Linked DNA regions of Arabidopsis thaliana. The protein of the gene in region 1 interacts with the protein of each later gene in a pairwise test. Each region holds a gene or a part of one and is shown on either strand. Other genes may lie near its edges.

Region 1 (5,590 bases):
GACTTTTTTTTTATCAAGACCTAACTCTTACCACTTTGAAAGCAGCTTATCTTATTTCTTTAGATAAAACAATTGATAAGCGAGTGCTTTAAACTTCACAAAACTACAATCTACTTTTTATTCGATAAAACAAAAGATTTTATTAGTCTTTTTCATTAGGGTCCCAAATGATTAATATGTTCACGATCACGAAATTTCTTCTTGCGTCCCGTAAGCATTTATATTAATCAAACAAAAAGGAAATTTGTTGCTTCCTACAATGGGAAGTGGGAACCTTTGCCATCTTCATAAATGTTTTAAATCTTTTTTTTTTCTTTCTAATGTGTGTTTCATAAACACCAGCGACTTTATTGAAAAGAGGAACACGTAAATTGTATTCTCAAAGAACAATTTTTTTAGGAAGAGTAACATTTGTTTTCCTTATCTTAATATAAGCAACGAAATCAATCGTGCATATAAAAGTGAAATGCTATTTTGAATTTTCTAAACTTGACTAGCAAATTTTCACTAAAAAATAAAATTAAAAAGTAACGATAAAGTAGTTGTCGTATAGTCTACTCCACATGAATAAAATAATAAAGTAAATCAATAGAATGTAAATCTCTTAATTAATCATACTTATTATATAATCACAGTGGCAAAGTGGAATAAAAAAAAAAGAGGAGAATTGGATCCCGTCGGATTCTATATTTAAAGATCGCTAAACATCTCAAATCTGCCACACGTGGTCATACTTAATAGCAGCCATTAACGAAGTAATAAATTAGTCGATAATAATGTTTAACCAACATCGTATTTCTAGATCCATGAATTAGTTGGAGTAATTAACATCATTGTTTCTTAATTACGTTTAACAAGCATAGAGAAAACAATATTGTCACATATGTTAGTATAAGTTATCATAATCATTTATAAAAGCTTGTTATTAATTTTTTATATTGAAATTACTACTTTGTGTCTAATCGGAAAATGATGGAGTACTAAAATTTGAAGGACTAAAATACGTCATTATTGTTAGAGAAAACAATTACGCATAAGTGTGATTTTTTGGAAGTGGAAAAGTTAGTATGTCCCTCTATATGATATGATGGAAGTTGTTGTTCTTTTTGTGTGGATAAACATCATTTTTCCGTGACGTAATTTTTAATTTCAGTATTCATTTTATTATTCTCACTTCTTATTATCCCTTTTATATTCGCATAATTGTTTCTAAGGATTTCTATTCCCTTTTTGTTATTTTATAGGTACACTATCTTATGGATGGTGTCAACAAGCATGTACACTATCTTCCCACTACCACATATTGTCACAGAATGTTTGGTACGCGTGCTTCTATATACTTTTAATAGTACATAACAACAACAAATGAATTATGTAAGACAATTTGTTAAACTGATGTCAAAAACGGAAATACTACAAAAGACAGTATAATTGAATTACGGGTTTAATGTGTTGACAAAATATAATAAATGTAGCTCATAAAACTTCAATAATTCACTTAAATAAATTCTAATGAACCTCATAACGAATTAGATATTTTAACTAATCTTATCATGGTTTTACGAATTAATTATAATTTTTTTTTTTATTCTTTGAACAATTGAACTAAACAATATTAAACCGGACTTTAAGTTAAAACTACTAAAAACATTATTAGTTTATCAATAGAAATGATCATAGCAATTGTATACATTATAATGTGTAATTTTAAAATCCTAAAGCATATATAGTATATATCCCTTTGATTTTCATAGAAAAAAAGTAGAAAAAAATAACTATTGGGCCGATCTATAACTATTGGGCCGGTGGGTCCAACAACTAAGAACAGTAGATATTGTGTCGATTGAAGTTTTGAGATGCAAAACGTGTGCTGTTTTGAGAACACAAAAACAGCATAAACAAACGAGACCCGCAACTATAACATTCCGTAAATACCCTCATTCTCCCATCATATTTTCAAAAACTACCCTTCCCCCTATTTCCATGGCCCTTCTCTCAGTTTTCCCGCGAGAAATCCTCTCCTTCTTCCATAATCATCAAAAACAAAATGCAAAAACCCAAAAAAACAAAAAATCACACGACGCAACCACCTAGCCTCTCTGTCCATCAATCTCAATCTCTCTCTGTGTTAATGCGGAATCCGATTTAACACCGGAATCCGCCATGGAAGATGAATAAAATCCGGTCTCTCCGCTGCCTCCTCCCGGAGACCATAACCTCCGCCTCCACCGCCGCCTCAAATCGAGGATCTGACGGTAGCCAATTCAGCGTCCTATGGCGGCATCAGATCCTGGACCCGGACAGCAACATCGTCACCTATTGGAACCACGTCTTTCTCATTACCTCAATCCTCGCTCTCTTCCTCGATCCTTTCTATTTCTACGTCCCTTACGTCGGTGGTCCGGCGTGTCTCTCCATCGACATCAGCCTCGCCGCTACTGTCACTTTCTTCCGTACAGTCGCCGATATCTTCCACCTCTTGCACATTTTCATGAAATTCAGAACTGCGTTCGTCGCGAGGAGTTCTCGTGTTTTTGGTCGCGGTGAGCTTGTTATGGATTCTAGAGAGATTGCTATGAGATACTTGAAGACAGATTTCCTCATTGATGTCGCCGCCATGCTTCCCCTTCCTCAGGTTCTTAAGATTTTGCTCTTATTTTGAATGTGAAAGCAATGATATGGATTACGATTAGCTAAGATCAATGTTCAAAAATCGTTAGGCGGTAGCTAGAAGATTAAAGAACAGAGATATTTTGGGAGCCTCATGCTTTGTTTCTGACTATCTTTTGATCTCAGCTTGTTATTTGGCTAGTAATTCCAGCGGCCACAAATGGAACTGCTAATCATGCCAATAGCACTCTCGCACTTATCGTTCTTGTTCAATACATTCCAAGATCATTCATCATATTCCCACTCAACCAAAGGATTATCAAAACAACCGGGTTTATCGCCAAGACTGCTTGGGCAGGAGCTGCATACAACCTCCTATTGTACATCCTTGCTAGTCACGTAAGTTTTCTTTATCTTGTGTGTTTTTTCAAATCTTTAGGTTTCTTCAGTTTTAAGTTGCTAAGAATCTCTATTTGTGGGCAGGTGTTAGGAGCAATGTGGTATCTGTCATCAATCGGGCGGCAGTTTTCGTGCTGGTCCAACGTATGCAAGAAAGACAACGCTTTGAGAGTTTTGGATTGTCTTCCTAGCTTCTTGGATTGCAAGAGTTTAGAACAACCAGAGCGCCAGTATTGGCAGAACGTTACTCAGGTCCTTTCTCATTGTGATGCTACAAGCAGCACTACCAATTTCAAATTCGGAATGTTTGCTGAAGCCTTTACCACTCAAGTTGCTACAACAGATTTTGTGTCCAAGTACTTGTATTGTCTTTGGTGGGGTTTAAGAAATCTAAGGTATGACAACCTTTTATCTAACCAGTATCTGCTTAAATTGTCCTCCTTTGGTTTTAATAAAGGTTTTGTTTCACAGTTCTTATGGACAGAATATAACCACAAGTGTATACCTTGGCGAGACCTTGTTCTGTATAACAATTTGTATTTTTGGGTTGATTCTCTTCACACTCCTGATTGGTAACATGCAAGTAAGATTCAGAGCTTATGCATCACTCTGCAAAACTTTTCAATACAGAGACATTTTTTTGTCTTTCTAACAATAGACTTCATGATTTTTAATTTGGTGGAAAGTCTTCTCTGCAATCGATGTCAGTAAGAGTTGAGGAATGGAGAGTTAAGAGAAGAGACACTGAAGAATGGATGAGACATCGTCAACTACCTCCAGAGCTTCAAGAACGTGTCCGAAGATTTGTCCAATACAAATGGCTTGCAACCAGAGGTGTCGATGAAGAATCAATCCTCCATTCATTACCTACAGATTTACGCCGTGAAATCCAACGTCATCTTTGTCTCTCCCTTGTTCGCCGGGTACATACATCAACTCAGTCATCAAAAACTGTTATGGATTTGATTGTTTTTCAATTCAGAAGTCACATTGTTGTGGTAAGTGCAGGTCCCGTTCTTCTCTCAAATGGATGATCAACTTCTTGATGCTATATGCGGATGCCTTGTCTCATCTTTAAGCACGGCCGGGACATACATATTCCGTGAAGGTGATCCGGTGAATGAGATGCTATTTGTGATCCGAGGACAAATAGAGAGCTCAACAACAAATGGAGGAAGATCTGGTTTCTTCAACTCCACTACTCTACGACCTGGCGATTTCTGTGGGGAAGAACTTCTTACATGGGCCTTAATGCCAAACTCTACACTCAATCTTCCGTCTTCAACACGAAGCGTCCGTGCCCTCTCTGAAGTAGAAGCCTTTGCATTAAGCGCAGAGGATCTTAAGTTTGTTGCTCATCAGTTCAAACGTCTTCAAAGCAAAAAGCTTCAACACGCTTTCAGGTACTACTCACATCAATGGAGAGCATGGGGAGCATGTTTTGTCCAATCTGCATGGAGAAGATACAAGCGAAGAAAGCTTGCGAAAGAGCTCAGCCTTCACGAGAGTAGCGGATACTATTACCCGGATGAAACAGGTTACAATGAAGAAGACGAAGAAACTAGAGAGTATTACTATGGAAGTGACGAGGAAGGCGGATCAATGGACAACACAAATCTGGGAGCAACGATCTTAGCATCTAAATTTGCGGCGAACACGAGAAGAGGAACAAATCAAAAGGCTTCAAGTAGTAGTACTGGTAAGAAAGATGGATCTTCCACCAGTTTGAAGATGCCTCAACTATTCAAACCAGATGAGCCTGATTTCTCTATAGATAAAGAAGACGTTTAAAGTGTAGTCATTATGGGCAAAAAACTTTTGTGTGAACTGTTTGGTTTTAGATGGTAAATAGTTAGGAAACTCCCTTAATTATTTCAACTTGTAATTTTTCTTTTCTTTTCGTTTCGGTTTGAGGATGTTAGATATAGAAAACGAGTGTAGAGTAAAAATACATTGTTCTTAAACTGTCTCAATGTTATATAGTCTGATTTCTTCTCATAGTAGATACTACTTTTGCATACAAACTCATTTTTAAGTCTTTCAGAAGAACACTAAGGTGTTGATAGCTTCTTCGGATTGACCAGCCAATATTAACCTCAAAGATAGCAAAAATCTCATAAAGCAACCACTGAATGCAATTGAAATTTTTTGAAACTATAAGACCAAAACCAAGAATTAGAACTCCAAATTAGTCATTCATATCCAATTGAGAAGAATGGACCAACTTTTCAACAAACCTAACATATTTAATGACTAAAATTAGGTACGAAGCCGTTTTGTTATCCAATCCTTAATCTCTCTAAGCATCAGAACTTGACAACTTATTAACACCGTCTGGCTCTCTACTCTTACAAAGCTCTTCCAGAAGCGAATCCAAACTCTTCCAAGACGAACCAGTCCCTTGAGCCATAGCTTTTTTCGCCATTTTCGCATACTCTTTTACATTCTTCATCGTTGTCTTCCCCATCTCTCCCTCCATCAATTGTTTAACCTAAATAGTACAAATAATAAATACAATCAAGGGGTACTCTACAGTCAAACGGAAAAAGAGGCTTCCTTCTTGTTAATTTGTTAGTCAAAA
Region 2 (5,932 bases), on another chromosome or scaffold:
AAAACAAAGTGGCAAAAGCTCAGAGGAAGGCGGAGGAGAGGAGAGCCACGGCGGAAGGTAAACGAGGGACGGAGGTTGCGAGGGTTCTTGAAGTTGCTAATCTCATGAGAGCCGTTGGACGACCTCCGGCCAAACGATCATTCTTCTCTCTTTCCTAGCTAAGCTATTACTAGTTTTAGTTACATCCAAATGTCTCAATATATATAGGCTACCATTTTCTGTTGGGAATCAATGTGTATATAACTATATATAGAATGTAAGAGTTTTAAAGGTACTGATATATTTTGTAATTGTATGCTTTTTTCTTTGTCTGCACCACATAAAAACTAATAAAATGTTATTTGTAAGCCAAGAAAATTGTTTACATGTATTGTTTTGTCATTCCATCTGCTGAGACTGATACGACTAAAGAGTTAAAGAAAAGAAAAAAAAGGTTCAAGCTCTTACTTAGTTTCCAGCTCTGTTCATTTAATTACTCTCTCTACCTTGGCCTGTCACTCATGTGTTTAAGAGCTTTAACAAAAATGTAATTTAAGACGCCACAATTTACTAATTCAGGCTGCAAAGCTCGAAACCCTACGTATTTCAGGAATGGAATTTCGAACCCACTAAAATCTTGCTCAGACGAGTCTAAAACCTTTTTGCATACAACTTGTATGTATTTCTTACCACACTCTTACGGTGAACAAAACATAGACCTTATACACACAAGTGCAAGAAAGAGAGAAGTAAAGAGATTTTGAGATGGGCTGATTAAGAAAGGCTTATTTTCGGTTTTTGCTTCTGCCATAATGGGCCTACATACCCTTTTTTTTTTTTGGTAGAAATCTACATACCCTTTCTTTGTTAACTCTCCTATTTATTTGTCCATCAATATCATAGATATATTTTGTTTTGGTCGTTTTAACAAACAAGACTCAGTCTTTGGTAAATGATCAAATACTAAAGAAAATAGAGTGTACTGTATAAAACCCCTCATTTCTTGCCTAATTATATATTGCACTTAACTCTCTTTTTTAGTAACGGTAATCTAAGTAAACAAATTACAAATTGAATCATTGACTTGGTAGGAGTAAGACAAACACTCGTGTAAGGAAAGGAATGTCCATCAGGAGCTTTGATATTAATTTAGAGGCATTTGATAAAGTATCTTACCACATTCATACTCCGTTGACTTTGCTAATTATTTTATATATAAACTAACTCTAAAGTAAAATTTTAAGTATTTATGTTACTTTTAAATACAGGTTTCGACCCAATTGCACATATATCTGTAATCTGAACAATTATTAAATTAGTTGACAAAAAAATAAAAATAAATTTATTTCTATATCAGTTAAATTTTGATAAATCAAAATGCGTTTATCGATTTGTTGGTAGAAGTTTTATAGTGCAAAACCAAAATCATCAACTTGACAGAAAAAGCAAATAACTTTGAGTAATTACATATGTTGGTTGTTTTGTATCGAAGTCAAAAAAATTAGTTAGTTGGGTCCGACGAAAGTGATTAAAAAGAGTCAAAATCGCCGTGTTTGACCTTTTAATTATAAAAAAAAAACAGAACATAAAATAAAGGTGGCCGCTTATTTATGAACCCAAACACGAGCGTATTTACGGTTTCACCCTTAACTTTTTTTTATTTCCAAGGCGCTTAGTTTAAGAACGTGTCACAGACTCCGCTTTCTGTTTAATCCATGAGGTAAAATTCCTGAAACACCCCTGTCTTCGTAATTATTTGTATGATTCATTTCACAGATATATATTTATTTGGTGCTAGAATTTTGTTAGACATTCTATAAAAATAAAGAGTTTTCTAAAATTAAAATGAACAAAAATATTCTAAAAATAAAAAAAATTCTGCAGGAGTTTGAAAAAAAACAATTGGTGGACATTTAACTATTTAAGCCTTAATTTTTTTTGTCGGCATTTAAGCCTTAACTTAAGATCACATATATTCACCAAAAATAATTAAAATCACATATAGGGGTAATATTGTCAATAGTAATTTGGTAAAGCTGAAGGCATTTTGATTTCACATTAGAGTAATGTAATAGTAAGAAACATTCTTTGAAAATTAAAAATTTAAAGTGAAAAAAAGAAACAGACAAAAAAAGAAAAAAAAACAATCATAGAGCAGCTGGAGAAGAAGGGAGGGAAGAAGATTCTCTTGACCTTCCTTCCATCATCATCTCTCTCTCTCTCTCTGTAATTAATTTTTCGCAATTTTAATTTTCGAACAAATGATTTGACGTTCTTCTTGGTATTCACGCGTTGAAAATTTCCACCCTTTCATATATTGTTCTTCACCTCCTTCGTTTTTTTCTCATCCATCTCTTCCAGAATTCTCTTAAAGTTTCCTACTTTCCTGGAATTTCGTCCTCAATCTCTCAAGTTTCATCGGTTTTGATTTGGGTTTGATCGGAAAAGTCATGGGTAATTGTTGCGGAACAGCAGGATCATTGGCTCAAAACGATAACAAACCCAAAAAAGGAAGGAAGAAGCAAAACCCTTTCTCGATTGATTACGGTCTTCACCACGGTGGTGGAGATGGAGGTGGAAGACCTCTTAAGCTTATCGTTTTGAATGATCCAACAGGTCGTGAGATCGAGTCTAAATACACGTTGGGGAGAGAGCTAGGTCGTGGAGAATTCGGTGTTACGTATCTATGTACTGATAAGGAGACAGACGACGTTTTTGCTTGTAAATCGATTTTGAAGAAGAAGCTGAGGACAGCTGTTGATATTGAAGATGTTAGGAGAGAGGTTGAGATTATGAGGCATATGCCTGAGCATCCTAATGTTGTTACTTTGAAGGAGACTTATGAGGATGAGCATGCTGTTCATTTGGTTATGGAGCTTTGTGAAGGTGGTGAATTGTTTGATAGGATTGTTGCTAGAGGGCATTATACTGAGAGAGCTGCTGCTGCTGTCACTAAGACCATCATGGAAGTTGTTCAGGTTCGTCAAGGTTTTTTTGCTGTTTATTGTATCTCTTTAGTCTTTACTTGTTGCAGAATTGCAATGGCCTCGTATAATGTCTTGGTTTGTTACTGGTTTCAGTTTCTTGGACATTATTGACTTGTAGCATTGCTTTAAAGGGCTCAATTTGCTGCAGAAAGATTCAAAATTCGTTTCTTTTCATGTAAATTGAAAGTCTTGTGGAGTGATTTTAGATGTGAGATTAATGAGTGTGTTCTTGCAGGTGTGTCATAAGCATGGGGTAATGCACAGGGACCTGAAACCTGAGAACTTCTTGTTTGGAAACAAGAAGGAGACTGCACCTCTTAAGGCGATTGATTTTGGTCTCTCTGTTTTCTTTAAACCAGGTAATGTGGTCTTTCTGCTCAGTAGATAGCTGATTGCTTTGTGGTTTGTCAATAATCTTAACCCACACCGTTATTTTCTTTGCAGGCGAGAGGTTTAACGAAATCGTTGGTAGTCCGTACTACATGGCTCCCGAGGTGCTAAAACGGAATTATGGTCCAGAAGTTGATATTTGGAGTGCAGGTGTAATTCTTTACATACTGCTATGTGGTGTCCCGCCTTTCTGGGCAGGTTAGTTTTGTCAGTCTATGTTTCCTTCTTCTTGGGCCGTCTGTAGCACATGTTGTCTTCAGGGGTAGTATATGAAGAAGTGATCATAAGAATAATGAACCTGGTCTTCTGTTTTTTTCTATACCATTTTCAGAAACTGAACAAGGAGTTGCACAAGCAATTATTCGATCTGTACTAGACTTCAGAAGGGACCCATGGCCCAAGGTTTCTGAAAACGCAAAAGACCTTATCAGGAAAATGCTTGATCCTGACCAAAAGCGTCGTCTTACAGCTCAACAAGTCCTAGGTACAGATTTATATGATGCAATTTGCTTATATGGAATCTGAGACAGACAAAGAGTATTAATCGGTCTTTGCTTCATTTTCCTCAGATCACCCGTGGTTACAGAATGCAAAGACAGCCCCCAATGTATCATTGGGTGAAACAGTGAGGGCAAGGTTGAAGCAGTTCACCGTCATGAACAAGCTCAAGAAACGAGCACTCAGGGTAAAATACATATTACTTATAAACTATCCGAAAATGTATATCTCTTCTGATCTAAAAAGCCTAACAATAGTTTCGTTTGGTCTTGTTACGTTATCTCGATAGGTTATTGCTGAGCATTTATCAGATGAAGAAGCTTCAGGTATAAGAGAAGGGTTCCAAATAATGGACACAAGCCAAAGAGGGAAGATTAACATCGACGAGCTTAAAATCGGGTTGCAGAAACTTGGTCATGCCATTCCGCAAGATGATTTACAAATTTTGATGGATGCTGTGAGCTTTGATTTACCATTACTTTTCAATACCAGTTTTTGTGTGATTTGAATGCAGTTAACTGAGCTCTGGATGGTTTTCTTCTACTTTGCAGGGAGACATCGATAGAGATGGATATTTGGACTGTGACGAGTTTATTGCCATATCGGTACACCTAAGGAAAATGGGCAATGACGAGCATCTCAAGAAAGCGTTTGCGTTCTTTGATCAAAACAATAACGGATATATCGAAATAGAGGAGTTAAGGGAAGCCTTGTCTGACGAACTTGGTACAAGTGAAGAAGTTGTTGATGCCATTATCCGTGATGTTGACACCGACAAGGTTGGTTAACTTCACCATTTCACTCTCGTTTTCTTGTTGAAAAAAATCCCATCTCATAGAGAACTAACCATCATGAAAATTGTTTTTTTTGTAGGATGGAAGAATAAGTTACGAAGAGTTTGTAACGATGATGAAAACAGGAACAGATTGGAGAAAAGCTTCGAGACAGTACTCGAGAGAACGGTTTAACAGTATCAGTCTCAAACTGATGCAAGATGCGTCGTTGCAGGTCAATGGTGATACAAGATGAGAGAGGCTTAATCTGTGTCACTCACCAGTCTGGAAGATTGAATCAAAGGGATGCAAATCTTTCTTAATTTCTTAATTTTTATCTTCTTGGGTTGCTTTTTTTTTATGACACCACGATTAAAGCTTTTTAGGCATATAAAGTTGTAAGAGTTGTGTGTTTGATATCCTGGCTAATGAGCGAGCTGAGTATGGGGATCAAGAGAGAAAAACCGTGTTGGCCTTTGGCTGTGTGTAGATATTTTGTATAATCTTGTGTTGATAAAAGATAATATCATCAATTTTTCTTGTGATCAATCTGTAATTTTCTATAACCATTCAAGAATTATATGAGTTATGGATTTTGACAATGAGAGCTTGCTTTACAGATAAACTTACACGAGCTTATATCGAATATAGGCATTTTAAATTTAATAATTTCAAAAGAGGTATGTTGCACAGTTGAATGGGCCGCTTATTGTCTGATTTCGGACGATTTTAACCTTCTGGAGTAAGTGAGAAATTGATATTCCATTTTTGCAAGTGGTAGGATGATGTGAAAATAGGTGAAGAAGTGAAAACGATATACCCTAGAATTGGACTTGTAAACCCAAACCGTTTAGTTGACAGTCTGCGATGCATACACAGATACAACGACACAACACTACAACATTAATTAGACTTTCTCGGCTTGAGAAGATGAGGCCAATGAAATGATATTAGAGATGACTTTTCACAAGAAATAAGTACATGTTTTCGTGAAGACATATGAGAAATGTCTTAATAAATAAATTCTTAAGACAAATGCCTATTTTGTAATTAACTCAATTTACACAAAGCCAGATGTACAAATAAAATCAGAAACTAAAGTCCCATTTCGTTTTGTCCTGGTGGTCGACTTTGTCTTTGTGGTCACAGTTTTGTTTTCAAAACTGTACAATGTTTTAAATAAGTATATAACGGAAACTATATTGGCCATAAACTTTTATCAATCCCATATAGCTATAGTAGTCGAGAAGAAGGAAAATTCAGACAAAAATATAATAAACGTCGTTATTGGCTTATCGCAGCATC

What was found.
Region 2: the proteins of CNGC18 (region 1) and CPK32 interact in a two-hybrid assay, tested with the Arabidopsis thaliana proteins (one study listed by BioGRID).

Annotation. Positions count from the first base shown.
Region 1 is NC_003076.8:4,807,478-4,813,067, reverse strand, and holds CNGC18 (cyclic nucleotide-gated channel 18), read left to right. Parts: upstream 1-1,974; 5' UTR 1,975-2,170; coding exon 2,171-2,635; intron 2,636-2,796; coding exon 2,797-3,009; intron 3,010-3,093; coding exon 3,094-3,404; intron 3,405-3,480; coding exon 3,481-3,592; intron 3,593-3,695; coding exon 3,696-3,932; intron 3,933-4,017; coding exon 4,018-4,800; 3' UTR 4,801-4,977; downstream 4,978-5,590. Other genes in the region: AT5G14860 (UDP-Glycosyltransferase superfamily protein), read right to left, coding at 5,309-5,500. UniProt on the Arabidopsis thaliana protein: Cyclic nucleotide-gated ion channel required for directional pollen tube growth into the transmitting tract. Acts as a Ca(2+)-permeable divalent cation-selective channel inhibited by either lanthanum or gadolinium.
Region 2 is NC_003074.8:21,295,849-21,301,780, reverse strand, and holds CPK32 (calcium-dependent protein kinase 32), read left to right. Parts: upstream 1-2,076; 5' UTR 2,077-2,429; coding exon 2,430-2,957; intron 2,958-3,201; coding exon 3,202-3,325; intron 3,326-3,410; coding exon 3,411-3,554; intron 3,555-3,687; coding exon 3,688-3,840; intron 3,841-3,925; coding exon 3,926-4,041; intron 4,042-4,143; coding exon 4,144-4,311; coding exon of another isoform or gene 4,312-4,362; exon of another isoform or gene 4,363-4,405; coding exon 4,406-4,633; intron 4,634-4,727; coding exon 4,728-4,883; 3' UTR 4,884-5,324; downstream 5,325-5,932. Other genes in the region: AT3G57540 (Remorin family protein), read left to right, coding at 1-158. UniProt on the Arabidopsis thaliana protein: May play a role in signal transduction pathways that involve calcium as a second messenger. Involved in maintaining Ca2+ homeostasis in pollen tube tips by regulating CNGC18. Functions as regulator of the calcium-mediated abscisic acid (ABA) signaling pathway.